7 linked regions of the Rattus norvegicus genome follow. The protein of the gene in region 1 purifies or fractionates together with the protein of each later gene. This does not show direct contact. Links are inferred from orthologs where the notes say so. Each region holds a gene or a part of one and is shown in the gene's direction. Other genes may lie near its edges.

Region 1 (3,500 bases):
TTTGATCCCAGATGGTGGGAATGGTCAAGACATTGTGCACCACAGCTGAAGGTGTTGGTCTCTTTGTTACAGTGACATTTTACGAATGGATTCCACCAATGCTGATGCTCTGTATGTCCGGGGTCTTTGCCTTTATTATGAAGACTGTATTGAGAAGGCAGTGCAGTTTTTTGTACAGGCTCTCAGGATGGCTCCTGACCACGAGAAGGCTTGTCTTGCTTGTAGAGTAAGTTCTAAGCCTTGTGTTCTGAGAATCTGAAAGTGGGGATAAAACTTCCTCTCATATCTTATGAGTGAGACTAGGGCTGTAGCTCAGTGAGGTGAGGAGGTGTCACACTGTCATGCCTGGGGCCCTAGGTTCCATCCCTGCTCTCAAAGTGGGAGGAGAAGGGAGTAAAGAGCTAGCTAGAGTTGAAGAAGTGAGACCTGTGGGAATGTGACAGCTCCACTTGCCAGTTTGTTGAAACTTCCCTGAGGGGGCCATGCATGCAAGGGGCTGTGTCGTAGCAGACAGCTGGAGGTGAGAGAGAAAAAACGGTGAGAAAGAGTGACCTGAGGCTATGTGGACTGAATTGACCACCCCTTGCTCTTCTCCAGAATGCCAAAGCCCTTAAAGCCAAGAAAGAAGATGGGAATAAAGCCTTTAAGGAAGGGAATTACAAGCTAGCATATGAACTGTACACAGAAGCCTTGGGGATAGATCCCAACAACATAAAAACAAATGCTAAACTCTACTGTAATCGGGGTACGGTTAATTCCAAGGTAAGCACTTGATCTGGGGGTCAGAGGTGTTCAGAGATCTGCTCAGCCAGAGTAAGTTGGACAAAAGAACAGTGCCCCTCGTCCTGTAAGGAACTGCCTTCTAAGAAACAAACCTGCCTTTTTGTGTGTGGTGTTGAGAACTTAAGAGTCAGCTTGGCTGACCATTCCCTCCTGTTCTTTCCCAGTTGTCTTTTTGCTCTTGTGAGAGAGAGCAACTAGCAGGTCTGTGCCATTTGAATAAGTATTGTCTCTTCTCATTTGAGCAAGAATTTGTTTATTCTTCAGCAAAGAGACAGAGGAAATTAACAGTGTTAATTAGGCTTTGATAAATGGCTGAATACGGGTAGCTGAGAATAACTGTAGTCTTCCTGTGGCCCTGTTGCACCATAAGAGAGATTAGGTTCTATAGAATTCTAGTAGGTAGAAATTTTAGTCTTTCTGGTCTTTGTACTTATGCCGTGAAGAGTAGAGGGCAGGGACCACCCTTCTGTTTGTTGTTTTGGTTAGACACTAACATGGCACACTAGAGGCACTTTAATCAGTAATGGCGTGGCCTTTATCTCATAGTAAAGAAACCAGTTTGAAATTTGTTGTCTTTAGCCCTCTGACTTTCCCAGGGACCAAGACCAAGAACACAGTAGGACAGGGATCTAGCCATGTTCATATTGTCAGTGGCGACACGAAGTGTGATTGTGCTCCCTCCCTCTTTCTTTCTCCTGAAGCTTAAGAAACTAGAAGACGCCATAGAAGACTGTACAAATGCAGTGAAGCTTGATGACACTTACGTCAAAGCCTACTTGAGAAGAGCTCAGTGGTGAGTGCTCTGGAGGGCTGGGGGGACGGGGTTGCCACTGGTTAACTAGGGGAATTGCGTTGGATTAACAAAACAGACCCAGGGATGTTGTGAGGTCATTTGGTCCTTCCCCCTGCCTCTAGGTGGGATTGTTCCAGTCCTAGACTATCTTTATAGACCTCCAGCGGAGGAGATTGCACACGCTCCCTCAGTCTCCCATGCCTGTCTAACGCCCCTCACGGTCAGTAAGTTTCCTCTGATGCCTGACCCAAATTCCTTTCATTAACATGTGAATCCATTTCCTTTGAGATTTTATTTTGTGTTGTTCACTTCTGCTCTAACTTGGCACAGTGCTTGGCTCACTCAGTAAGTGTTTTGTTGAATGGACTTATGGTGCTTAGAAGAGGAAAGAAGGAAGTCTTCCTGAGGTGTACCTGCTGTTTGTCATGAGCAGGGAAAGTACGGTTGAAAGCAATTTCACTTGGCTCAGCGGTGCAGCTGTATAAAAACCGCTGTTAGTTAGGCCCAAGATAAATAGTTCATGCTGAGTATTCCGAGCCCAGTGGGCTCTGTGGAAAGGAATGTGCCTGCCGTATTTCCCCAGATGCTCCCCAGCCTCTTTGCTCACTATGCTCTTTAACCCGTCTTCCAGAGAGTCTTCTTCAGACAGAACAGTACGAGGGCCAGAATGCACCTCTCAGATCATGTCTTCTGGCCTAGGTGTGGTGGCATAGCCTGCAACTCTAGCACTTGTGAGATGGCAAAAGAGTCAGCGTCGTTAGTACAAGACCAGTGTGGGCTGTAGAATGAATTCCAAACCATTCTGAACTGGTGGGGAGATACCAGCTCAGTGGGGACCTGAGATCAAATCTCCTGAGCCCACATAAGGTCTGGGGTCTATAATCATGGTGCCCTACAGTGAAATGGAGAGAGACCTAGGAGAGTCCCCAGCAGCTCACAGGCCAGCTGGCCTGGCATATTATATATACAGTGTAAAAAAGAGGCCCCGTCTCAAAGTGGAAGGTGAGACCAACATTCACTGTAGTCCTCCTGCCTTCATTATGTGTTCCTTGCTCAGTGTGAGCCTGCGTTCCCACAGAAACATGTACACACCATGGCTCTGGTTTAACACCTGGCACAGTGGACAAAAAAAAGTCATTTCATTTCCTCCTGCTCTCTAAGCAAAGAACTTCCTGGTTTCAATTCTGTTGTTGTTTCCTTTTCTTACAAGTGGCTAAGCTGGCCTCAGACTTTCTATGTGTATAGTGAAGATGACATTGAACTTGTGATCCTCCTGTCTCCACCTCTTCCAAGTGCTAGGATTGGAGGCCAGCATCAATACAGCTTTAATGTGTTTTTATACACACTAGGAAAGCGCTATACACGCCAAGCTACCTTCCCAACCCTATCTCTCCCCTACCCCCAATCTCAGCCTGGGGCAGTAGTACTGGTTTTAAAGGTCCTTAAGGGAAAGGAAGTTCTTGGGTGTCATTTTTTCCAATGCCAATTTTATTCCTAACTATAAACCATAAAGTCCAGAGGACAAACACTACTTACTAATGCTTGAGCCAAAAAATCCCTGGTCAGTGGTATAGAGCCCCTCAGATCATCACCATTGAGATATAAAAGCTGCCAGTATACGTGATTTTTTTTTAATAAAATTAAGTGAATGACTAAGTCTGTCCAGTGAAAACATAGATGAATTGCATTATCAATTCTGAGAGGCTAACCCTTATTCATTCCAGAATCATACCTACTGTCACACAGGAATGGAAGCTTGGGCTGGAGGGATAGCTTAGTTGTGTAGACCCTACTATACATGTTTCAGGCCCTGGGTTTACTATCTCCCTGCTCCTTACCCCACAGAAGAGAATGGAAATCGGTAGAGTGCTTGCCTAGCATGCACAGTTGTGGTCGCTAGCACTCTATAAATTGGGCTTGCTGT
Region 2 (4,148 bases), on another chromosome or scaffold:
CTGATGCATGCTCAACTTGTGACACATTAAAGCAAACATATTTGAAGATGCTTGTTACTTTAGTTACTTTCCTCCTGCTGTGATAAAACATCATGACCAAGGCAACCTGTAAAATAAAGCATTTAATTGAACTTAGATACAGAGGGTCTGAGTCTATAATGGCCACAGAGATGCCCTGAGCACTCACATCTCAAACCCAAGTCGAGGCAGAGAGACACTAGGAATAGCTTGAATCTTTTCAAACCTGCCCATAGGGATACACTTCCTCCAGCGAGGCCTCACCTAAGTCCTCCCTGGTGATGAGGACAGAGAGTACAGGGAGGGGGAATTCAAACAACCACATCTGCCTGGCTTAGTTGCCAACCTAGCACAGAGGCAGACACTCTACCGCAGAGCTGTGTCTGCAGCCCCTTTTATTTTTCTTTTGACACAGGCGCTTGCTGAAGCTTCCCAGCCTAGCCTTGAATTCACTCTGGCCTAATTCACACAACTCTGTCTCAGCCTCCAGCGGAGCATTAGACCTGAGACTTGCCCAAGCTCAGACTTCCAAGACGTCCACAAAATGTTCAGATTTCTCGGTCGTGTCGTGAGATGACCGTGTTTAATGAAGCCAAGATAATCCACCGCTCATTAGTATTAAGATGAGTTCAGGATAAGGATGGGGTGGGGGGTGGAGGGGTGGGACTAGAAGCCAGTCGTACTTAAGGGGCTTGTCTCTGTTCAGTGATCTAATGGCTTTGAGTTCTGAGTGAAGGAAGTAAATGAACTTTGTTTCCCTGTGCATTTCTGTATCCTGTGCATTGAGAGAGCAAAACACGACTTTAAGTGGACGCGGCTTTGTACTTCAGCCCTGCTGACCTCTACAGCTTCTGACACATGAGCCTACCGAATATCATTCGCAGAGGATTTAAACAAGTTATGTGTGAAAGTAATAATCCTTTCATTGGAAAGGCAAGACAACACAGATGCACTTGGCTTCTCCTTATTTGGAGCCTGTGGTCCAGGCTTTCCCTGGACTCTCCGGAGCCCGCCTGGTCACCCGACAGGTCGGGCAAGTAGAGACTGCCCTTTAGGGCGTCCTGAATTGTCTCCGGCTCTCCCCACGTCACGGGCAGCACCCACTACGTCCTTGCTGTGAATCGTGGGTGCTGGGAGGAACGGCGTGGGCCCTCGGCGCCCCGGGGCAGGGTCCCCCACCCAGGCGTGCGGGCGGCTGCGCCCGCGCCTGCCCTTGTTTGGCCGCGCGGCCTCGGGGGTGGGGAGCCTGGGAGGTGGGGGCGGTGCCGTCCGCGTCAGCGGCGCCTGCGGTGACGGCGACGTGCGGCCCGCGCCACTGCTACCCGCGGACGCCGAGGACCCCCGGAGCTCATGGCCCAGGCGAAGATCAGCGCCAAGGCCCACGAGGGCCGCTTCTGCCGCTCGTCCTCCATGGCCGACCGCTCCAGCCGCCTGCTGGAGAGCCTGGACCAGCTGGAGCTCAGGTGAGGGCGGCGGGGGCGCGCGCGGGCGGGGGCGCGCTCCGGGTGGGCTCCCCTCCCCCGGCCGGCAGCGCGGCGAGCCAGTGCGGCTTGCAGAACTTCCAGATCCTTCGGCGCGGTCCCCCTCTGCCTTTAACTTTCCCGCTTCCAGGGGGCAGGCAGCAGGTTGGTGTGGTCCTTCCCCCCTCCCCTGTAATAAGTTTCTTTGCCCCAGATCACTTCATAGTAACACAAGAGTAAGTTTTAAAAAAGAAAAAACCCAGGACTGCCCCTCCGGGGGACCAGCGAGAATCAGACTCAAAAGGGGCCGCGCGAGATACCGAAGTTGGATACCATCCTTCCTTCTCTTAACCACGTGCAGTGCCCTCTGCAGTCTGTCCGTGTATGTTGTGCGTTTAGAAGACACAGCTGACACTTGGGAAGTGCCAGTCGCAGGTCTGAAAACACCAAAGGCAGGCGTCACACTCTCCCTGAGATTCTATCACGGGGACGGCCTTGTAGTAAAATTTCTAAATCGTGAATACTACTAGCAGATGCTGTGAATACTTGGCTTTAGCAACATGAGCCCCGGTGTATCTGGTGGGAACGTTAAGGTCTCCAAAGTTGTGCAAGTTTTGATTGTGTGCAGGCGCTGTTCCATGAAAATCGTATGGAGACACCCTGACACATGTTGTTCCCTAGTTTTCTCCAGGTTCTGCATAAGCAGAAATATGAGCCAAAATCTTAAGAGTCTTGTGCGTCTTCATCTCTCTCCGTGCATCCACCAAACACAGTATGTTTGCACAGAAAAATACAAGCAGTGTTTGTTACAATTGAGGTGTTCGCTATTTTTACTATTAGGAGAAAAGAACCAGAAGGTGAGAAACTTTTAGTCTCTGGAGTAGCAACCACAAGAGAAGCCTGAACCCTATGTCCCCCAAACCGGAGGGAGACAAAGGGACCTATGCTGAGAAGGGAGGGGGTCAGCATTAAAGCCCCTCTGAAAAGAGAGGAGTGTTTCCCTCTGTGAGGTAGGCTCCGAACTTTGACAGTACATTCTCAACTGCTCCGATTTTTTTTTTCCTTGAAGGGTTCAGGAAGTTGTCACTCTTCCTCAAGCTGAGTCATTGTTCAGAAACTTGAGTTAATCCCTGCCGGCCATGTGCTGAGTCCCTCCTCTCCTCCTGGGGGCCTCTTGAAAGTCTGGGGGTTGCTTAGTGTTACATTCTAATGTCTGACTACGTCAAAGGAATCTCAATTCCCGGCCCATAGGAGATTAAATTATGTTACTTATTAACAGTTGCGCTGAAGGGGGTTTCTTACTGTGTGTTTAGTGGTTCAAGGCCTTTACCAGTAAGCGCAGATTTCTGTAAGTCTTGTTTCTCTTTAAAAATGTGATGCGCACTTAGAAGTAAGTTTGTCAGAAGGTGAAAGAAATGGGGGGAGGGATGATGCTGCCTTTTAAGGTTTGGGGGCCCTTTTTAGAAGCCACCTGGACAGTGTCACAGAGCAGGACACTTTAAAATTAGGCTTTTCAAACATGGGTAGAGAAAGATGACGCTCCTGTGACGTCCCTCCAACTTTCTTAGTGCCCATGTGTGGGAAAAGCAGTGGATGGGGTAGTGTAAGTCATTGGTTGGTAGCCAGTGTGCATCTTCCATTCAGTTGAACTGGTTCTGTGGACTGAAACCACATCAAAGGCTTTATGTCCTGCAGGATGAACTGACCTCGGGGGGTGTCCGAAATGCTTTAAAATGTTTTATAAATCGGTAACAGATGCCGTTTGTTTCTAATGGCTTATGATATTAACGACACCATCTTACATTAAAACAATATTTTATTACTACGCCTCCTCTCCTGCAGTGCTTTCTCTAAAAAGATAATCCCGTCCTTTCCTGATTTACATGACCAGCTCTATGGGGATTCTGCGCTTGTCGAGGCCGAACGCCTTACTCTTTAGTGGTTATCCTAGTTTATAAATCATCCATGTTAGCATCAGTCTGTAGGCTAGGCCTCGTGTCTCTGGGGGAGTTACCGTTATCTGTATTGCGCAGATGAGAAGTTGAAGCTCAGATATACACAACATGCTTCAGTCCAGAGCAGAGCACTTCACATGTGAACACGGGAAGACCGGCTGCTCAGGTCAACACCATGTGTCCTGGTCTTGAATATCACTTTTCAAACTGTCCGTCTGACCTATGAATGAATATGATTTTACTAAAAGAGAAGAAAATCAATTTAGCGTTTGAGTCAGTAAACATTGAAGACCTGGAGCATGTCTGTTATTGAGTAGCTTCTAGGAGCTGTGGGTCAGGGGCTGGGCTTTGGACATTGGCCAAGGAGGTATAATGGTTGGTAGGACTGGGAGATCGGCTGCTTACACATCTCCCAAAACCGATCATGTGGTGAGCAGCTCCTTCCCAGTTCACTCAGCCAGCAGGGGCCAGGGAAACGGGCCACCCCCTGCTTTGGTTTCTGACTGTTTAAGGTTCCTGTTAGCATGTGCCAGTGTTCCAGGACCCACAAAGCAAGTTGACACCATATTTAATTTGTCGTTAACAGTCTGTAATTTAGAAGGAACGCTTTTCGTGCACACTGTCATTTGAATCTTATAAAACCCCCGAGGGAGGAGGGCGTTATTATCTTTTAGCAGTGAGAACGATGGGCTGTGATGGGACTTGGTGGGAAGGA
Region 3 (3,500 bases), about 22 Mb from region 1:
GCTGAGGATTTAAACTCAGGACCTGTTAAGTATGTGTGAGAGAGATCTGTTGTTTTTAGAGGTTAAAAGATAGTTTTGTAGAGTCAGTTCTCCCACTTTTTTATATGTATGCGAGTGCCTAAATGTCTGTATATCAGCTGCATACCCTCTGACACCAGAAGAGAGGGTGTCCAGGGTATCAGATCCCTAGAACTAGAATTACAGGCGGTCACTAATGTTGGTGCTGGAAACCAAACACTGGTAAAACAGCAAATGCTCCTTACTGCTGAGCCGTCTCTCCCGGCCCATCCTTTTCCCCTGTATTGTGAGTTCAGGGTTGAGCTTAGGTTATCAGACTTGTTCAGCAAGCATTTTACCTACTGAGCCATCTTGGCCCCTGGCTGTACTTTCTTGAGGTCTCACTGTGTAGTATTAGTTGTTTAGCACTTGATAGATAAACTAGTCTGACCTCAGAGTCCAGGAAGCCCACAGACCTGTCTTCCTCTGATCCCGGCTGCTAGATTACATGTGTTAGCCACTATGCCTGGGTTCACAGTAGTTCTGTGTGAAGATACAAAATGGCAAAAACACAAAGAACATACCAGCTAGGCATTGTGGCTCATGCTTATAACCCTAGCACTTGAGAGATCAAAGCAAGGTGGAAAACTCTCAAAAAATGTTATTAGGTGATTTTTAAATGAACTAAAATGATCACATTATCATTAGGTGATACAACCTTTTGTTTTATATTTGTGAGAGTCTCAACTATGTACTCTAGACTGTCATAGAACTATATATAGTCCAGGATGGCCTCAAATCTATGATGTTATTCCTGCCTCACAGCCTCTTGCTGGTATTACAGGTATGGGACTATTGTTGGACCTGCAATCTGTCATTGACTGAAGCATTCTTTTGCAGCACGTGACTCTATTGGAAACACGGCCATCTAAGGTGGTGGTAGAATAAGCTACCTTTTCCCAGGAGCTAAAGGTCCCTCAATGTGTTTGCAGGTGAAGAATATTGAAGAGCACCGGGAACGTAGTCTGGACTCTGTTCAGGAGCTGATGGAAAGTGGGCAGGCAGTGGGAGGCATGGTTACCACAACCACAGGTCAGCTCTCTTCCCTCTCCCAGAGTAAATGTGCATCCCAAAGGGACCTCATCTTCTTATCTAATCTACCTTCTGCATTTTTCCTTTCTTTTCCTCTCAGTCTGTGTAGGCCAGGCTGTCCTCAGACTCATGAGTTTAGGCAGGAGCTACCATATGGCTTTTATTTTATTTTTGAGAGTACTAGAGATCAAACTCGGGGATTTTTACCTTTGATTTGCAAACCCAGCCCTGTCTATCATCTGTCTTTCTCTTCCAGATTATCTATCTGTCTGTCTGTCTGAGACGGAGTCTCATTATGTAGCCCTGCCTGTCCTCACTTTCATGAATATTAAGCTGGTCTAGAACTCATAGAATATGTTACCACACCTGGCCCTAATTTTTCTGTTTTTTGTTTGTTTGTTTTAATGATTTATGTGCATTGGGGATATATATATATATATATGTGTGTGTCTGTGTGAGGGTATCGGATCCCCTGGAACTGTATTTACAGACAGTTCTGAGCTGCCATGTGGGGACTAGAAACTAAACCCTGGGTCCTCTGGAAAAGCAGCCCATGCTTCCAGCCATTGAGCCACCTCTCAGCCTCAGCTTATCTACTTATTCTTAGCCTCAGTGTATGTTGAAGTAATATTTTTTTGTCAGTCTTGACTGGAAACATTTTTGGAATTCCTTAGACATAATATTGAGATGGGAGTTCTTATTACACCTTTTGTGAAGAATCTCTTTGTCCTCTTGTTCACTTCTTCCCAGATTGGAACCAGCCAGCTGAAGCCCAGCAAGCCCAGCAAGTGCAGCGGATCATTTCACGTTGTAATTGTCGGATGTACTATATCAGCTACAGCCACGACATTGACCCTGAGCTAGCAACTCAGATTAAGCCACCTGAAGTTCATGAGAACCAGGAAAAGGAGGATCTCTTAAAGAAGCAGGAAGGTATCCAAGGCATTTCTGAAAGTAGTTATTTCTTTAGTGGTTTTAAGAGAGTAGACAAAGGGATTCCTGTAAGCTGTTGGTAATAACATTTACTTGGCTCTGCATTTTGTAAGTCCAACCATTAGAACAACCTGTACTCTTAGAGGAAGTTGGGACAGTGGTTACTTGGGATTCTATTCTGAAAGAAACATATTTCTATTCCCGGGTGCCTCTTCTTCCCTTTGTGTTGGAATGACCAACATGAGTGGTTCCAAATATTCTTTTTTTTTTTTCTTCTTTTTTTCGGAGCTGGGGACCGAACTCAGGGCCTTGCGCTTGCTAGGCAAGCACTCTACCACTGAGCTAAATCCCCAACCCCAGTTCCAAATATTCTTTAGGGTGGGTATGGTGGCGCAGAACTTTAATCTCCACACCCAGAAGGCAGAGGCAAGTGGAGCAAGGTAGAGGCCAGCCAGGACTACGTAGCGAAACCCTGTCTCAAAAAACAAAACAAAATATGGGTTAGGAGGGTGACTATATAGGGAGAAACGTGAACCTGTTATTTAACTGACTGCTTATAATTTTTCAGGGGCTGTGGATACTTTTACTCTTATCCACCATGAATTGGAAATTTCTACCAACCCAGCTCAGTATGCTATGATTCTGGACATTGTCAACAACCTGCTTCTCCATGTAGAACCCAAGCGGAAGGTGAGCATGAGCCCTTCTAGAATTCAAGTTAGGCTCACCTGAACCTTGATCTTGTCGTTTTCTTCGATCCAGTTAAGTAAAGTAATGATGGGCTGGTGAGATGGTTCAGTGGATAAGGAAGAAACTAATACCTCACCCTGAAAGGGGGACTTATGATTGGTAATTACAGCTATTGGAATTCATATTGTTAATGTTTGAGTATCTCTAAGACTGTATAGCTTGTTCTAGCCAGGTCTCTACTCAGTTACTAAACATTTCTGACAGTGGTGACTACACATATCTGCCTCCATCTCTACCCTGTGAGCCCAGCTTATGAAATCATCCACATTGCAGATCTTTTATACTGACCTACACCTTACTCTTGCTACTGATCACGACCGGTAAAGGCCAGCTTTCCAGAAGAGAGAGAGCACCATTCACTTTTCTACAAAACATATTAAGAAACGTTAATTCAGGGGCTGGTAAAGCCTGTACTGAGCCTAGCCTGCGTGAAGCTGTGGGTTTTATTCACAGCGCCACACAAAAGTACACGTTTCCCTCTTCCCTTTTTTAGGAGCATAGTGAAAAGAAACAGCGCGTCAGATTCCAGCTCGAGATCTCCAGCAATCCTGAGGAGCAGCGCAGCAGCATATTACACCTGCAGGAGGCTGTGCGGCAGCATGTGGCCCAGATACGGCACCTAGAGAAGCAGATGTACTCGATCATGAAGGTAGTCATCCTGGGTAAACTGAGGACAGATCTCTTAGTCTCCTATGATAGACACAGAGATCTCTCTCTCTCTTTTTTAT
Region 4 (3,500 bases), on another chromosome or scaffold:
TGCCTGGTTACAGGAGATGGCTGCACATCCCCCATTGCTAGGAGTCTTAGCTAGGGCCACTCTCATAGATTCCCTGGGAGTTTCCATTGTCCTAAGTTTCTAGCTCATTCTGGAGATGCTTCCCACCATCTCTGCCCCTACCAGTCTGTTGTCTCTCCCAGTATTCACTCCCTTACTGCCCCACCCACCTTATCCCTCCTGTTCCCATTCCCACCCCTCCCCCATCCATATCCAGGGTCTGTTCTATTTCCCCTTCTCAGGGAGATTCAAGCATCCCCACTTGGGCCCTCCTTGTTACTGAGCTTTTGTGGATCTGTGGTTTATGGCAAGGTTATCCTGTACTTTATGACTAATATCCGCTTACATTTGCGTACACACCATGTTTGACTTTTTGGGTCTGTGTTACCTCTCTCAGGATGATCTTTTCTATTTGTTTTAGCACACTTACCTCCTCATTGCTTGTAGCAAAAGTTTTATATTAGTAATTGTTTTTCTTTTTTTTATCTCAGAATCTTAGAAAAACATATTTCTAGTAATGAGAAAACATACCCTTGTTATTACTGTGAGGAGTAACTATTTTAAGTTATTTATTTTATGATGTTTTTCATGCATGTATGTCTGTGAACCATGCATACCTAGTATCCTTGGAGACCAGAAGAGGACCTTGGATCCTCTATCACTGGTATTACAGATGGTTGTGAGCTACCATATGGGTGCTGGGAATCAAACCCAGGTCCTCAACAAGAACACATGTACCTTTAACTGCTGAGCCATTTCTCCAGGTCAGGATTGGTTATTATTAAAACATAGATATATCTAATTCTCTTCCTCTTCAGTACCACATGGCTATACAGAAGTGGCTAGTGTTCCTGTTGCCAGGCCTGGTCGGAGATTGTATAATGTACGGAATCCCAGTGCCAGCCGTTCAGATTCTGTGTTGGTACAAATTGACGCTACAGAAGGCAATAAGGTGGTCACTCTCCGCTCTCCTCTGCAGGTAATGCTATAAGGTAATGTGTCCCCTTGGGAATGCCAGGCAGAATTCAGTCATTTAGCTGAGACTGGGATGTGCAGTAAGCAACTCATTATTCAGAAATAAATGCCAAAGTGAAGCAGAGTCTGCTACTACCCCATTCTGTTAGTGTGGTTTATCTTACATGGCTTGAAAAGCAGGTGTGTGTGTATGTATGTATGTATGTATGTATGTATGTATGTATGTACTTACCTATGTAAGACCAGTTTTTCTGGCCACAAACCCATAAGCATTTAGTATTTTTCTTCAGAGATTTGAAACATTTAAACATCTAAACATTATTATGTTTCTTTGGAAATTTCAAACTTAGACGCTATGATAATGGATGATTGTCAAGTAGGATAGCCACACGCTCTTAGTATACCATCACTTGAGGCCATATTTTTTTCTGATGTATGTAAGATGTTTAGAATGACCTCATGTAAAAAAAGAAAGAGAAAGGCAGTTTAATCTATATAAACGTTTTTCTTTCTGCTCTTCTGGTTATACTAAACCTTTTAGTGTTTCCAGCATTAACTCCAGGCTTCAGTATGTGTTGGTGTAAGGAACACTTCTCCCCACCTAACTCGTGCATACAGATTGGGACTCATCTACGATTTGGAACCCTTTTTAAGTTGTTTTTAGCTGCAGCACAGAGCCCAGCGCAGACAGGGAAAGATTTCCATGGCTTTTCTGGTTTCTTTGTCACACGGTGTGTTAAAGGGAGGTTGTAATGGAGAAAACATGGCTGAAATCTTCATGAGTGGTACATCTTCAGTGGTGGCATATACTAACTGTATACACATGTCATATGTAGATGATGTGGCAATGCCGATTTGGAACTGTCACTTAAACATTGAACGACACTTAATCATAGTGTTTATAGGTAATGCTTAGATACCTAAATATTGTTGGTAGCCAATGAGAATAACTTCCAATATTAAGTTGAAACTTCTCAGATCTAAAATAAATGTGTGTGCTACTAATGCTTTCTATTCAGCTAATGTATAATTTTAAAAGTTATATATCTATGCCAACAGATTAAAAACCACTTCTCAATAGCATTCATCATCTACAAATTTGTCAAGAATGTTAAGCTGCTGGAGCGCATTGGGATAGTGAAACCCGAGGAAGAGTTCCATGTGCCTTTGGATTCCTACAGGTGCGCATGCCTGTGTGTGTGCACGCCTGTGCATGTGTGCACGCCTGTGCATGTGTGCACGCCTGTGCATGTGTGCACGCCTGTGCATGTGTGCACGCCTGTGCATGTGCTTAGCTTCCAAATGGGCTGCAGGTCGGCAGAGCTGGTATGGATGGGCGGCGCTGCTAAGGAGCTTAAGGATTTTTAGGGTCTTAGAGGGTGCTGGGGTCGAGTCCAGAGTGTGAGTGCACACGTCAGCATGCTGTGTGTGGAGACACTATAGTGAGTCCTGTGAATCTGTACAATGAATGTGGGTTGTTAGTTACAGAAAGGAAACAAACTCGTGTATTCTTAGTTTTATGAATTGTATCTCTAGTTTAGGGAGAGTAGCCTTGCATTTTTATTGTTCTAATCATACCACAGCCATTTTTAGGACATATAAAATTTATTCTTTTGATCAGAAATACATGTTATCATTGAATTTACAATATAATTTCTTCATCTGGTATTTGATACTTTGTAATTTTCTAAGAGTATATATTTTATTAGCTTGCCTTTATAGTTAAAATGAAACTATTTCAAGTTGTCCTTCCTCTGTCAGTAGCTTTGTTGCTTGGTGCATATTCTAAACTTTCTTATCAGTGGTTTCTATGTTTGTAAGAATATCGGAACCCACCTTATAGAGAGATCGTGAAGAGTCTGAGGTTCTCTTCCATGCCTTCTGCCTGTAGATGCCAGTTGTATGTTCAGCCGGCTGGCAGCTTAGAGCAGCAGTACACACAGTCCACCACGTACATTTCCTGGAAAGAGGAGCTTCACCGTAGCAGGGAGGTCAGGTGCATGTTGCAGTGCCCTGCAGTAGAAGTCAACTTCTTACCGCTCATCGTGAACACGGTTGCCCTGCCCGATGAGCTGAGCTACATCGGTGCCCACGGGGAAGACTGGGATCCAGCCTACATTATTCATCTTTACCCTCCTCTCACCTTGCGGAACCTTCTCCCGTATTCGATAAGATACTTACTTGAGGTATGTGTCCTGCATTTGGTATTATTATTGCTATTATTACGCAGTGTAAATTCGCATTGTTCTATGGTGTTAGTGTAAGTTGGTGTTTCATGTTTCTAAGATGTGTTCATTATAGCTAACCTGGCGCAGCATCAGTGGTTAGGCCTCATACTGTGTGTTTTCTGTATTAGCATGCTTCAGTCCTCACAGAGGCTTTGGTAGTGGGTTCAGTCCTTTGGCCCTTGCTACCGAGTCATAAACGGATCAAGGGTCTGATCCAGGTCTGATAGACAGTGGTAAAGCTGGGATTTACGCCTTAGCAGTTCAGCTTCCCCTTTTCTT
Region 5 (4,017 bases), on another chromosome or scaffold:
TCCACAGCAGGCACATTTTGCAATTCTTAATTTTCTCTGTTTCTCTCTTCCCCTCCCTCATTCCCTCTCTCTCTCTCTTTTTTAAAGATGTATTCATTTATTATATATAAGTACACTGTAGCTGTCTTCAGACACACCAGAAGAGGGCATCGGATCTCTTTACAGATGGTTGTGAGCCACCATGTGGTTGCTGGGAATTGAACTCAGGACCTCTGGAAGAGCAGTCAGTGCTCTTAACCTCTGAGCCGTCTCTCCAGCCCCTCATTCCCTCTCTTAATTATTGCTTAATCGAAGCTCTCCAGTCTCTATCACTAGCCTAGTGGCAGGTGAAGTGTTAGTAGCCACTGATTAATGTTTTCATCTGACGGATAGACTCAAAACCTAGGCCTTCCTTAAACAGAACATCCTGTCGCAAAGAAGTGCAACTGATTTAATAAAAAAAAGATTTATTTATTTTTTATATATGGGAATACACTGTCACTGTCTTCAGACACATCAGAAGAGGGTATGGATCTCATTACAGATGGTTGTGAGCCACCTTGTGGTTGCTGGTAATTGAACTCAGGACCTCTGGAAGAGCAGTTAGTGCTCTTAACTGCTGGGCCATCTCCAGCCCCGGAACTGATTTTTAAAAAGGCTTCACGTCCTTTCCTGCTGCAGACAAGCACTGTTGATCTCTGACATCACGTGCATATTTACAAACAATGCGAAGTCTACACAAGTGAGATGATGAAGTCGGCCACCGCTTTAAACCGAACACTAGTCTTAACGAAGCGGAAGTGAGAAAACACACTTCAAGAGCTGTGTTGATACAAATGGTATTTAACTTGGTAGAATAAACAAGATTCGCACTCTCCACAGCGGATCCGCTACAAGGATCATTAGCCTGCCGGAGAGACGCGGGCGTCGTTGGGGTGCTCAGCGGCTTCCCTCCCTGCCAGCGCCCCGGCGTCCCGCTTACCCGGCTGGACGCAGCATCCCTGCGCTCCGTAGCGCGCTCACGGGCCAGCCGAACGCCGCCGCCGGAGAAGGACCGGCAGAGCAGCCGGCGAAGAGCTTTGCTTCCGGGCCGCAAAGCCGCCATGGCCCGCGCGTACGGCAGGATCGCGACAGTGGAAAGGTTGGCTTTACGGCAGCGTCGCAAAGCCTGGGGCGACGCGCGGCGAGGCCGACCCTGCGCATTCCCTGAGAGGGACGACCGGTTGCGGGGCCCGCACGGACGAGGAGGCGAGTTTTCTCCGGGCTCGGAGCTGAGGGGCCCGCTGTGCGAGGACGGCGACAACGCTGCGGAAGTGGAGGTGGCGGAGCGCGATGGCGCGTGCGGCACAGGTGAGCGCTGCGCGGGGGCGCGACCTCCGAGCTTCCGGAGTCGGGCACTTGGCCACCCTCGCTGCGCAGGCCAGCGCCCGCCGCGCGCCCATTGTGAGGTCAGGTGGCGGCGCGTCCGGCCCGGCCGAGACCCGGGAGCGGCCGCCGCGGCCAGTAGCTGCCGCCGCCTCCGCCGGCCCCTTCACCGGCTGCCCGGGTCAGACCTAGCCGGGAAGGGCGAGGGGGATGACGCTGGGGGCTCCGCTCCGGTGCCGCTCCCCGTGAAGGGCCGATCTCCCACCTCGCCGCCCTCCGCGGCAGCCAAGACCGCCGCCACCCAGACCTCTCGGAGTAAAGCGCTGCGAAGGCCGGGCTTGGACCCTCCCCAGGGACTGAGTTCTGTGGCCTGCCCGCCAGAAGTGAGCTGTTTGACAGAAACCTGAGAGCGTGGGAAATGCTCTAAGCACACTTACGGGGAGGCGAGTGACCGAGTTAATCGCAGTCGTCAGGTTTTTGCGGCGGGTACTTGAAGTCGAGGGCGAGGATTTGGACGTTTTCTTAGTTCCACTTTCTGAAAAGTAGCAAGTTTAGCTGTCTGTCCGAATGCTGCTCCTGTCAGTTTGGAAGAGCTACTTCCACAAGGGCACCCTGCTGGTTCCAAAGACTAGCTTAGGTTGGTGGGATTTCAGGAGATTGTGTTGCTGCTAACCCGGTGGGTTGACCTAGTATATGAAAGTGTATGCAGCTCGCTTTCATGGTTTAAGACAGAATTCATAGGCCTAGACATCCACCCAGGCTGGACCATGAGTACCTTCCTGTCTGTTCTTAAAATCCCTGCCGTGTTCCCTTATTTTCTTTTTGCTTTTGATTCTTGGTGTCACCAAGTAGTCCTTGGCGATCTTGAATTCGTAATTCTCTTTCCTCTGTCTCCCTGGTGCTAGGATGGTAGGCATACACCAGCTCACCAGCTTGGTTGGTTTGTTTTTTGTACCTGTTCAAAGAGGCAGTTGACATGTCACATCTTCCTTTTCCTCAAGTGTCTTTTAAACCTTTGACAAAACCCTCCGTGTGTTTGCTGCATGCCCAGCTGCCAGAGTTTGACCTGTCCACCCGCCATCGTTTCTGTGGTGTCCTTTGGTTTTGTTTTTTGAGGCAAGGCTTCTCATTGTCCTGGAGCCCCTCAGTTAGGCTGGCTGGCTGGCCAGTGAATCCCAGAGCTCCATCCGTCTTTGCCTCCCCGGCCCTGGGAATTTAACTGGGCACCGTCTTGCCTGGCCTTTCTGTTTTATTTTATGTGTGTTGGTGTTTCATTTGCCTGCATGGATGTCTGTGCACCATATGCGTGCCTGTAGAGTACAGAAAGGAAATCAGATCCCCTGGAACTGGAGTTACCATTAGTGGTGGTCATGAGTTGTCATATGGGTGCTGGTAATCAAACCCAGGTCCTCTAGAAAGCATTCAAGTCTCTTAACCACTGAGCCCTCTCTCCAGCCCCTTCCCTGGCTTTTTTTTGCACGTGTTCTGGAGTTGCAACCTGGACACTTGACTAAGAACTCTCTCCACAGCCCCAGTGAGCCCTTTTAAAAAGTGTACTAAAAAGGAGTGTTTGGATTGGGTTATTACCCTAAGAGACTAATAAGTTATCGTTCTTGCTATCTTTCAGTGCTTGTGAAACTGAACACACAAGTATGGATATGGGAAACCAACACCCTTCTATTAGTAGGCTTCAGGAGATCCAACGGGAAGTAAAGAGTATAGAGCAGCAAGTGGTTGGCTTCAGTGGCCTGTCGGATGACAAGAATTACAAGAGACTGGAGAGGATTCTGACGAAACAACTTTTTGAAATCGACTCTGTGGATACAGAAGGGAAAGGAGACATCCAGCAAGCTAGGAAGAGGGCAGCACAGGACACAGAACGCCTTCTCAAAGAGTTGGAGCAGAACGCGAACCACCCACACCGGATTGAAATCAAGAATATCTTTCAAGAAGCTCAGGCCCTTGTGAAAGAAAAGACTGTGCCCTTTTACAGTGGAAGCAACTGTGTGACTAGCGAGTTTGAGGAAGCCATCCAGGACATCATTCTGAGGCTGACACATGTTAAAACAGGAGGGAAGATCTCCTTGCGGAAAGCAAGGTACCACACACTAACCAAGATCTGTGCGGTACAAGAGATTATTGAAGACTGTGTGAGGAAACAGCCTTCCCTGCCACTTTCCGAGGATGTGCATCCTTCTGTCGCCAAGATCAATTCTGTGATGTGTGAGGTGAACAAGGCCAGAGGTACTCTGATTGCACTTCTGATGGGCGTGGACAGTTCTGAGACTTGCAGGCACTTATCATGCGTGCTGTCAGGACTGATGGCTGATTTAGATGCTCTAGATGTGTGTGGGCGTACAGAGATCAGAAATTATCGGAGGGAGGTGGTGGAAGATATCAACAAATTACTAAAATATCTAGATTTAGAAGAGGAAGCTGACAATACACATGCATTTGACCTGGGACAGAACCATTCCATTATAAAGATAGAAAATGTCCTCAAGAGGATGAGAGAAATGAAAAATGAACTTCTCCAGGCACAGAGCCCTCCTGAATTGTACCTGAGGTCCAAGACAGAGCTGCAGGGCTTGATCGGGCAGCTGGACGAAGTGAGTCTGGAGAAAAACCCCTGCATCAGAGAGGCCAGGAGAAGAGCAGTGATTGAGGTGCAGA
Region 6 (2,455 bases), on another chromosome or scaffold:
CTAGTCAGGGACAGCTATCCAAAGGAGGGGACTCCACACTCCACTAAGGTAAGGCTGGGCCTAGTCAGGGACAGCTATCCAAAGGAGGGGACTCCACACTCCACTAAGGTAAGGCTGGGCCTAGTCAGGGACAGCTGTCCAAAGGAGGGGACTCCACACTCCACTAAGGTAAGGCTGGGCCTAGTCAGGGACAGCTATCCAAAGGAGGGGACTCCACACTCCACTAAGGTAAGGCTGGGCCTAGTCAGGGACAGCTATCCAAAGGAGGGGACTCCATGCTCCAGACTAAGGCAGCAGAGAAGACCATAGATAGGGTGGGTGTATAGAGGCTTCATGAGGTGGATGTAGACAAGCCCAGCTCCTATGTGGGGTACTTCAAGTCCTGGGAGTCTACTTCTCCTCTGCCAACGAGAGCTACAGAAGGATCAGAAGCACAGAAGAGAAATAGCCCAACATTTCACAAGCTTGAAAGTAATTTCATTTCCCTCTTCTCATCTGGCTCACCTGCCTGCCTCATGTAGGAACCCGTCCCAGAAAAGCACCCCAACTCACCATTAAGAACTCATTTCCTGAATGGTCCAGACTCATTATTTACTCTTCAGGGCCAAACAAATGGCCTTCACTGTGATAACCCTTCCACTGACAGGTCAGGTTCAGCCCTGCTATCTTGGTACCTGAGTCTAATTTGTCCCAAAAGTTGTGTTGATTTACAGGTTGGTTAAGTTGGGTGCTGAGCCTCCCCTGGTGTTGTCCAATAGAAACACAGAAGTGACTACCTACACAAGATGCTTTCTAGCCCAGGGATGGATAGTGTGGGCTCCAGTTCACACCCCTTTTGTCCTTAACCTTATCAATGGCAGGAATACACTCTTCACATTGGCCAAGCAGAGCAAGGCTCTGGGTGCTTACAAGCTGGCCCGGCATGCCTATGACAAGCTGCGGGGGCTGCAGATCCCTGCCAGGATCCAGAAGTCCATTGAGCTGGGCACCCTGACCATCCGCTCCAAGCCCTTCCATGACAGTGAGGTAAGGGCATGTCTTTGAACCTGGTCTGTGTTCTGTTGGAAGATGACTGCTGTGCTCTTGGCTCCCCTACCAGTGTACTGGGATAGACTGGGTTCAGACCCCAGGTCTATGCTTCCTAGCTGTGCCTCAGTTTCCTGCTCTACCAGGTGTGTGTATAAACCCTTCCCCACAGGTGGTAGGAGGTACTAGTGCAGCATAAACGATGCACCCAACACAGTGCCTAGAACCTGGTGAGGGGCAGGAATTGACAGTGGACAGAGTTGTTCCTGTCAAGACAGCATCCTGCTGAGGCCCGCCTAGGAGGAGGTGTCTGGGCAGTGAGCCTTGGGTGGAGTCTTCAGTTGGCCAGCCTCCCCACAGCATGCAGTCTTTGGCCCTGGGAGGAGGGGAGGTCTGCACACTTCCACTTCAGCCTGGGCAGACGTGTTCTTGTTTTATAGGAGCTGGTTCCCTTGTGCTACCGCTGTTCTACCAACAACCCACTGTTGAACAACCTTGGCAATGTCTGCATCAACTGCCGCCAGCCCTTCATCTTCTCCGCCTCTTCCTACGGTGAGCCCTCCCACTGCTTTACAGACATGGGGCATTGTGCAGAAGGTGATGCCACCATGCCGTAGATACAGAATTGCTGTCAGAATCCACAGAGGCAAGGCCCAACATGTCCCAACCAGAAGTCCCACTCTCATTATAATGACAAGCTGGGTCCATTGTTCAGTCTGAGAGGCTGAGGGAGCAGTCCTGGCCTACCTCTTTCAAAACAGCCACTGTGGGGGAGAGGGGCTGCTGGGGACCTGGTCCTCTCACATGCACTGTGCCCCTTGCCTGCAGAGAGGCTGCTTGGGAAAGGGGACATGCTCTGGCTGTTCTATTTGCTCACACACTGCCTGGTGTGAGTGACAGTCCCAAAGCTCTCCTGAAGCCATCCCCAGCCCCTCCCTGTCCCCCCAGAGGTGCTGCACCTGGTGGAATTCTACCTGGAAGAGGGCATCACTGACGAAGAAGCTGTTGCCCTCATTGATCTGGAGGCACCAAGACACAAGAGGGAGGGCAAATGGCAGGAGACCTCAAGCAACAGTATCCTATGCTCTTGGCTCCAGCCAGGCCAGGGCCAGGGGCTGGGAGAGGAGGCAGCATGGGCTGTGGCAGGAGGGACAAAAGGATAAGATCAAGAAAGGCTGGGGAGGTCCCCACACAGTGAGGACCAACATCAGAAGCGGGCAGAGAGCTGGTCAGAGCTTGCAGGATAAGGAGAGTGGCACCTTCGTCTTCCTGTGAGGACTCCCTACCCTGCTTCTGAAGACACTGATCATGCTTCTGGTCCACAGCTAAGCGGGAGCTGTAGTACATACTTGTATATACTTGGGCAATCCCTAGCTTTCTCCTCAGGTAGCTCTTCATGCAGTGGCAGCAGTCAGTTCTCAGGCTGAGG
Region 7 (4,034 bases), on another chromosome or scaffold:
AAGTTTTAAAGACGTAAGAGCTAGAGAAATGGGACTGGAATGTAACTTAGTGGTAGGACATGTGCTTGGCAAACCCGAAGCCCTCAGTTGGATCCTGAGCACTAAAGCCAAAACTAAAAAGCCGACAACAAAAAGCAAACATCAGAACTAACGCTTTTGCCCAGGCCAACCCTTCACAGACAGGTCTTGGAGTGGTCCAGAAGCCTAAGCCAACCCGGTGTCCTAAGGCAGTAAAGATCCAGCCTGGCCCAGGAGCGCTCTCTGGCGGCCAAACTCCCAACATCCCTTCCCTGGTTGGCCTTTTCCAAGGCTGAACTAGACCTGAGCTAAATTGTCACCTCCTCCTCTGCGTCACTCGGAGGACCCCGCCCGCCGGAGCGTCTCTCCAGAGGGACAGGCCCCCGCGCTCCCCTGGTTAAGCGCCCCTCCTGCACTGAGTTTAAAGGTCCCCGCAGGGATCCGCCCCACCGGTCGCCCCCAGACAGACCGCCTCCCCCCTCCCGCAAAGAAGGTGCGGCACACCCTGCCCCCGTCGCGCTCAACCAGTCCCTCCCGATTCCGCTCCGCCCTCCCCCACCTTTGCAGGAGCCTCTTCCTGTCCCCAGATCCCCGTGCCAGCTTAACGAGACCTCCCACCGGCCCCAGAGGACCCGCCCTCCGGGGCTCCGCCGCGAGCCCGCCGCCCCCTCCCATGCAGGTGGGTGGAGCTCCCGTGGCCCGCCCCCAAGACTGTCCGTCATGACGTCACTTCCGCTCGGGCCTGACCGAGGTTCGGCTCCTCGGGCCGAGGGCGGGGGTACGGAGGTGGCAGCTGAAGGCAGGAGGCGGTGCGGGAGGCGAGAAGCTCCCGCGCGGACCAATCCCTGCGTCCCGGGCCGAGACCCTGCTCCTGCAGCGCCCCGAGGAGAGGCCGGCCGGATGGGCCGCTGAGCCCGAGTCGGGGACCGGTGAGGCCAGGGCGGCGCGGCCCGCACGGTTGCAGGGATGCGAGCCCGGGAGTGGACCTCCCTCTCCGGCTCGCCCGGCGGGAGGCACGGGTTGGGGCAGCGGCGGACCGGCTCGGTGGGCAGTGAGGCCCGCCCGGAGAGGCCTGGTAGCGGCCCGTGCCAGCAGAAGGCGGAGTAGTTGGGGTCATTAATGGGGTGGCGGGCCGCCGTTCGAGATTCTCATCGAGACTGGCGTCGGAGGAGGAGCTGACCGTGGCTCGGGGAAGAGGATGGCGGGCGGGGGTGGAGGGGCAACACTAAGAAGCTTGGGGAAAATTCCGTGACCGGCTTGGAGAGCTACTCGCTCTCAAAACTAGAAGGTTATGTGGTCCACCTGCCGAAGGGTCTCTCTGGAGTTTGGATGGGTCATTGATAGTGTGTGCAAGAGACAGCTTTAAGAGTAGCTACACTGAGCTGGTGTGCATAAGCCTGCATGAAACTCAGCCTCCGTATCTTCACAGTGTGGAGCCCCCTGGAGCTGAGATCAGGATGTTCCGCTTCATGAGGGACGTGGAGCCTGAGGATCCCATGTTCCTGATGTGAGAATTCCCTCCCCCCTCGTGCACTCATCCCACTCTAATTCAGGTCTGAGCAGTTCAGACAGACCTCTGGGTTCCCGTGTCTGGAACCGGATAGAATTTAGCTGCAGCTCTCAGACGGGAGTTGGTCTCCTGCCACTGCGCACCCTGACTTATTTGGGGGGAGGTGAAGAAGGCTGGGGTTTAATCTGCCGTCTGTATTGTATGCTCACTCCACAGGGACCCCTTTGCAATTCACCGTCAGCATATGAGCCGCATGTTGTCAGGTGGCTTTGGATATAGCCCCTTCCTAAGCATCACAGATGGTAACATGCCAGCAACCAGGCCTGCCAGCCGCAGGATGCAGGTAACAGTTGGAACATACCGAGACCCAGGGTGACTAGTTAAGTATGCTGCCATTCTGGTCCTACAACCAGCTTTAAAAGGACATGATCTGTGTGGGAGGCAGAGGAGTGGGGATAGAGAATCTGGGAAAGGGGGCTTTGACTCCCGAGGAGAGAAGGATGGGGTTGGGGGATGGAGGCACTGGCCACGTTTGGTATAGTAAGGTCGTAGGATGTAGTTCTAACTTCTGTTCCTTATCTTGTAGGCTGGGGCTGTCTCTCCCTTTGGGATGTTGGGAATGGTGAGTTCTTGTCTTCTCTGTTCCCCTCGAGCTCGCTCTCTCTCTCTCTCTCTCTCTCTCCTGTGTCTCTGTCTGTCTCTCTCTTCTGGCTCTTTGTGTCTCTGTCTCTCTCTTTCTCTGACACACAGATACACACAGACCTTAGATGTTATTTTCAGATGTGCCACTTTGGTGACAATGTTAGTCTAGGGGTGGTCTCAAAATCTTCTCTGGATAGTTGACATAGTTTAGAGCCCATTGAATATAAATCATGGAGCTAGGGCTAGAGAAATGGCTCCAGGGTTAAGAGCACCTGGCTGTTCTTCCAGACAACCAGGGTTTGGTTCCCAGCACCCACATGACAGCTCACAACTGTCTGTCTGTAGTCTCCAGGCATCTGATGCCATCTTCTGTTCCCTACCGTGCATTGCATGAATGGAGGGAACACATACATGCAGACAGAACACTCATTCATAGAAAAATATAAATAAAGTGCTCAAATACTCCTGATAGCTGGAAGTTCTTATCCACTGGGGAAAGTAAGATTGTATAGCAGTTCTTTTGAGGAGGGAGACTTTGGGACACTTTTACAACTCTAGATATTCAGAGGGTTTTTTGGTCGATGTCTTGGATTTTGGTTTTTTGAGACAAGGTTTCTTTATAACAGCCCTGGGTCTCCTGGAACTCACTCTGTAGACCAGGCTGGCCACAAGTCATCTGTGCTTGCCTCTGCCTCCCAGTGTTGGATTAAAGGCAAACCGTCAACATTTAGCATGTTCAGAGGAGCTAACTCACTGCTTTTGGGTCACTTCCTTAAAGATAGGGAAATGCACAGGTAGGAGAAGCATCAGAACAGCCACAGACCCGAGAAGGTGGCCAGCAGCTTATGGGGAGGAGCATGAGTGTTCTGGCTACATTTAAGAAGGAAAGCGGGTCTGTCCTCAGGTGAGTGACAGGCCCACAACCGCTGACCCATCTTCCTGACCCTCTCCTTTCCTCAGTCCGGCGGCTTCATGGACATGTTTGGGATGATGAACGACATGATTGGGAACATGGTATGACTTGCTCCAGTCTTCCCCGGCCTTGATCTCGGTGGCAGCCAACATGGCGGGAGGGGGTGAGGTGATGTGCTAGTGAAGAGGCTGGGTTGGACTGAGCTGAGCCAGAGCACCGGGGTCCTGTGTGTGTTCTTATACCCCTGAGCGATCACATGTGTTAGTGTTGGGCTAGGGAGTTGGGCAGTTGTGATGCCCATTCTCCTTGTGTAGTTAAGAAAGCTGAGGCAAGAGCAGTCAGCTGGAGGGAGCTCCCTTCTGCAAAGTAGGCCCTCCTCATTCAGTCTCTCCTCAGGAGCACATGGCCGCCGGAGGCAACTGCCAGACCTTCTCTTCCTCCACGGTCATCTCCTACTCCAACACTGGGGATGGTGCCCCCAAGGTTTACCAGGAGACATCTGAGATGCGCTCTGCCCCAGGCGGGGTGAGTAAGGAACTCCCCTATCTCAGAGGAGGTAGGACTGATTGGCACACACAGGAACCAGGGACGTCTTTTTTCAGGAATGGGTCGTGGGTGGTGTGTTCATCCAGGGTGATGTAGCCAGGGCTTTGTGGGGACAATTGCATGTGTCTGGTCCCTTTGTCCCAGATCCGGGAGACACGGAGGACTGTCCGGGACTCAGACAGTGGCCTAGAGCAGATGTCCATTGGGCATCACATTCGGGATAGGGCCCACATCCTCCAGCGCTCCCGAAACCACCGCACGGGCGACCAGGAGGAGCGGCAGGACTACATCAACCTGGACGAAAGTGAGTGAGCCAGCCACTCAGCCAGCCTGCCTGCCTGCCTGCCTGCCTGCCTGCCTGCCTGCCTGCCTGCCTGCCTGCCTTCCTTCCTTCCTTCCTTCCTT

What was found.
Region 2: the proteins of Dnajc7 (region 1) and Bag2 purify together in Homo sapiens (affinity purification with mass spectrometry; 7 studies listed by BioGRID and IntAct, with this or other methods). This does not show direct contact. The link is inferred for Rattus norvegicus from reciprocal best matches to the Homo sapiens genes DNAJC7 and BAG2.
Region 3: the proteins of Dnajc7 (region 1) and Bltp2 purify together in Homo sapiens (co-immunoprecipitation; 3 studies listed by BioGRID and IntAct, counting the BioPlex papers as one, with this or other methods). This does not show direct contact. The link is inferred for Rattus norvegicus from reciprocal best matches to the Homo sapiens genes DNAJC7 and BLTP2.
Region 4: the proteins of Dnajc7 (region 1) and Vps13c purify together in Homo sapiens (co-immunoprecipitation; 4 studies listed by BioGRID and IntAct, counting the BioPlex papers as one, with this or other methods). This does not show direct contact. The link is inferred for Rattus norvegicus from reciprocal best matches to the Homo sapiens genes DNAJC7 and VPS13C.
Region 5: the proteins of Dnajc7 (region 1) and Bag5 purify together in Homo sapiens (affinity purification with mass spectrometry; 4 studies listed by BioGRID and IntAct, with this or other methods). This does not show direct contact. The link is inferred for Rattus norvegicus from reciprocal best matches to the Homo sapiens genes DNAJC7 and BAG5.
Region 6: the proteins of Dnajc7 (region 1) and Ift122 purify together in Homo sapiens (co-immunoprecipitation; 3 studies listed by BioGRID and IntAct, counting the BioPlex papers as one, with this or other methods). This does not show direct contact. The link is inferred for Rattus norvegicus from reciprocal best matches to the Homo sapiens genes DNAJC7 and IFT122.
Region 7: the proteins of Dnajc7 (region 1) and Mlf2 purify together in Homo sapiens (affinity purification with mass spectrometry; 3 studies listed by BioGRID and IntAct, with this or other methods). This does not show direct contact. The link is inferred for Rattus norvegicus from reciprocal best matches to the Homo sapiens genes DNAJC7 and MLF2.

What each region holds. Positions count from the first base shown.
Region 1 is NC_086028.1:86,023,841-86,027,340, reverse strand, and holds part of Dnajc7 (dnaJ homolog subfamily C member 7), read left to right. Parts: intron 1-72; coding exon 73-226; intron 227-597; coding exon 598-762; intron 763-1,484; coding exon 1,485-1,576; intron 1,577-1,698; exon of another isoform or gene 1,699-1,796; intron 1,797-3,500. UniProt on the Homo sapiens protein: Acts as a co-chaperone regulating the molecular chaperones HSP70 and HSP90 in folding of steroid receptors, such as the glucocorticoid receptor and the progesterone receptor.
Region 2 is NC_086027.1:43,473,838-43,477,985, reverse strand, and holds the start of Bag2 (BAG family molecular chaperone regulator 2), read left to right. Parts: upstream 1-1,348; 5' UTR 1,349-1,368; coding exon 1,369-1,481; intron 1,482-4,148. UniProt on the Homo sapiens protein: Co-chaperone for HSP70 and HSC70 chaperone proteins. Acts as a nucleotide-exchange factor (NEF) promoting the release of ADP from the HSP70 and HSC70 proteins thereby triggering client/substrate protein release.
Region 3 is NC_086028.1:63,674,604-63,678,103, forward strand, and holds part of Bltp2 (bridge-like lipid transfer protein family member 2), read left to right. Parts: intron 1-989; coding exon 990-1,089; intron 1,090-1,839; coding exon 1,840-2,022; intron 2,023-2,590; coding exon 2,591-2,712; intron 2,713-3,265; coding exon 3,266-3,421; intron 3,422-3,488; exon of another isoform or gene 3,489-3,500. UniProt on the Homo sapiens protein: Tube-forming lipid transport protein which binds to phosphatidylinositols and affects phosphatidylinositol-4,5-bisphosphate (PtdIns-4,5-P2) distribution.
Region 4 is NC_086026.1:77,477,999-77,481,498, forward strand, and holds part of Vps13c (intermembrane lipid transfer protein VPS13C), read left to right. Parts: intron 1-836; coding exon 837-997; coding exon of another isoform or gene 998-1,009; exon of another isoform or gene 1,010-1,010; intron 1,011-2,052; coding exon 2,053-2,174; exon of another isoform or gene 2,175-2,178; intron 2,179-2,829; exon of another isoform or gene 2,830-2,884; coding exon 2,885-3,179; intron 3,180-3,500. UniProt on the Homo sapiens protein: Mediates the transfer of lipids between membranes at organelle contact sites. Necessary for proper mitochondrial function and maintenance of mitochondrial transmembrane potential.
Region 5 is NC_086024.1:136,590,479-136,594,495, reverse strand, and holds the start of Bag5 (BAG family molecular chaperone regulator 5), read left to right. Parts: upstream 1-1,217; 5' UTR 1,218-1,329; intron 1,330-1,771; exon of another isoform or gene 1,772-1,787; intron 1,788-2,971; 5' UTR 2,972-2,996; coding exon 2,997-4,017. Other genes in the region: Coa8 (cytochrome c oxidase assembly factor 8), read right to left, coding at 962-1,084. UniProt on the Homo sapiens protein: Co-chaperone for HSP/HSP70 proteins. It functions as a nucleotide-exchange factor promoting the release of ADP from HSP70, thereby activating HSP70-mediated protein refolding.
Region 6 is NC_086022.1:150,643,642-150,646,096, forward strand, and holds part of Ift122 (intraflagellar transport protein 122 homolog), read left to right. Parts: intron 1-860; coding exon 861-1,026; intron 1,027-1,466; coding exon 1,467-1,578; intron 1,579-1,974; coding exon 1,975-2,100; intron 2,101-2,455. UniProt on the Homo sapiens protein: As a component of the IFT complex A (IFT-A), a complex required for retrograde ciliary transport and entry into cilia of G protein-coupled receptors (GPCRs), it is required in ciliogenesis and ciliary protein trafficking.
Region 7 is NC_086022.1:159,425,165-159,429,198, forward strand, and holds the start of Mlf2 (myeloid leukemia factor 2), read left to right. Parts: upstream 1-1,234; 5' UTR 1,235-1,475; coding exon 1,476-1,525; intron 1,526-1,744; coding exon 1,745-1,871; intron 1,872-2,114; coding exon 2,115-2,150; intron 2,151-3,130; coding exon 3,131-3,184; intron 3,185-3,479; coding exon 3,480-3,608; intron 3,609-3,773; coding exon 3,774-3,933; intron 3,934-4,034.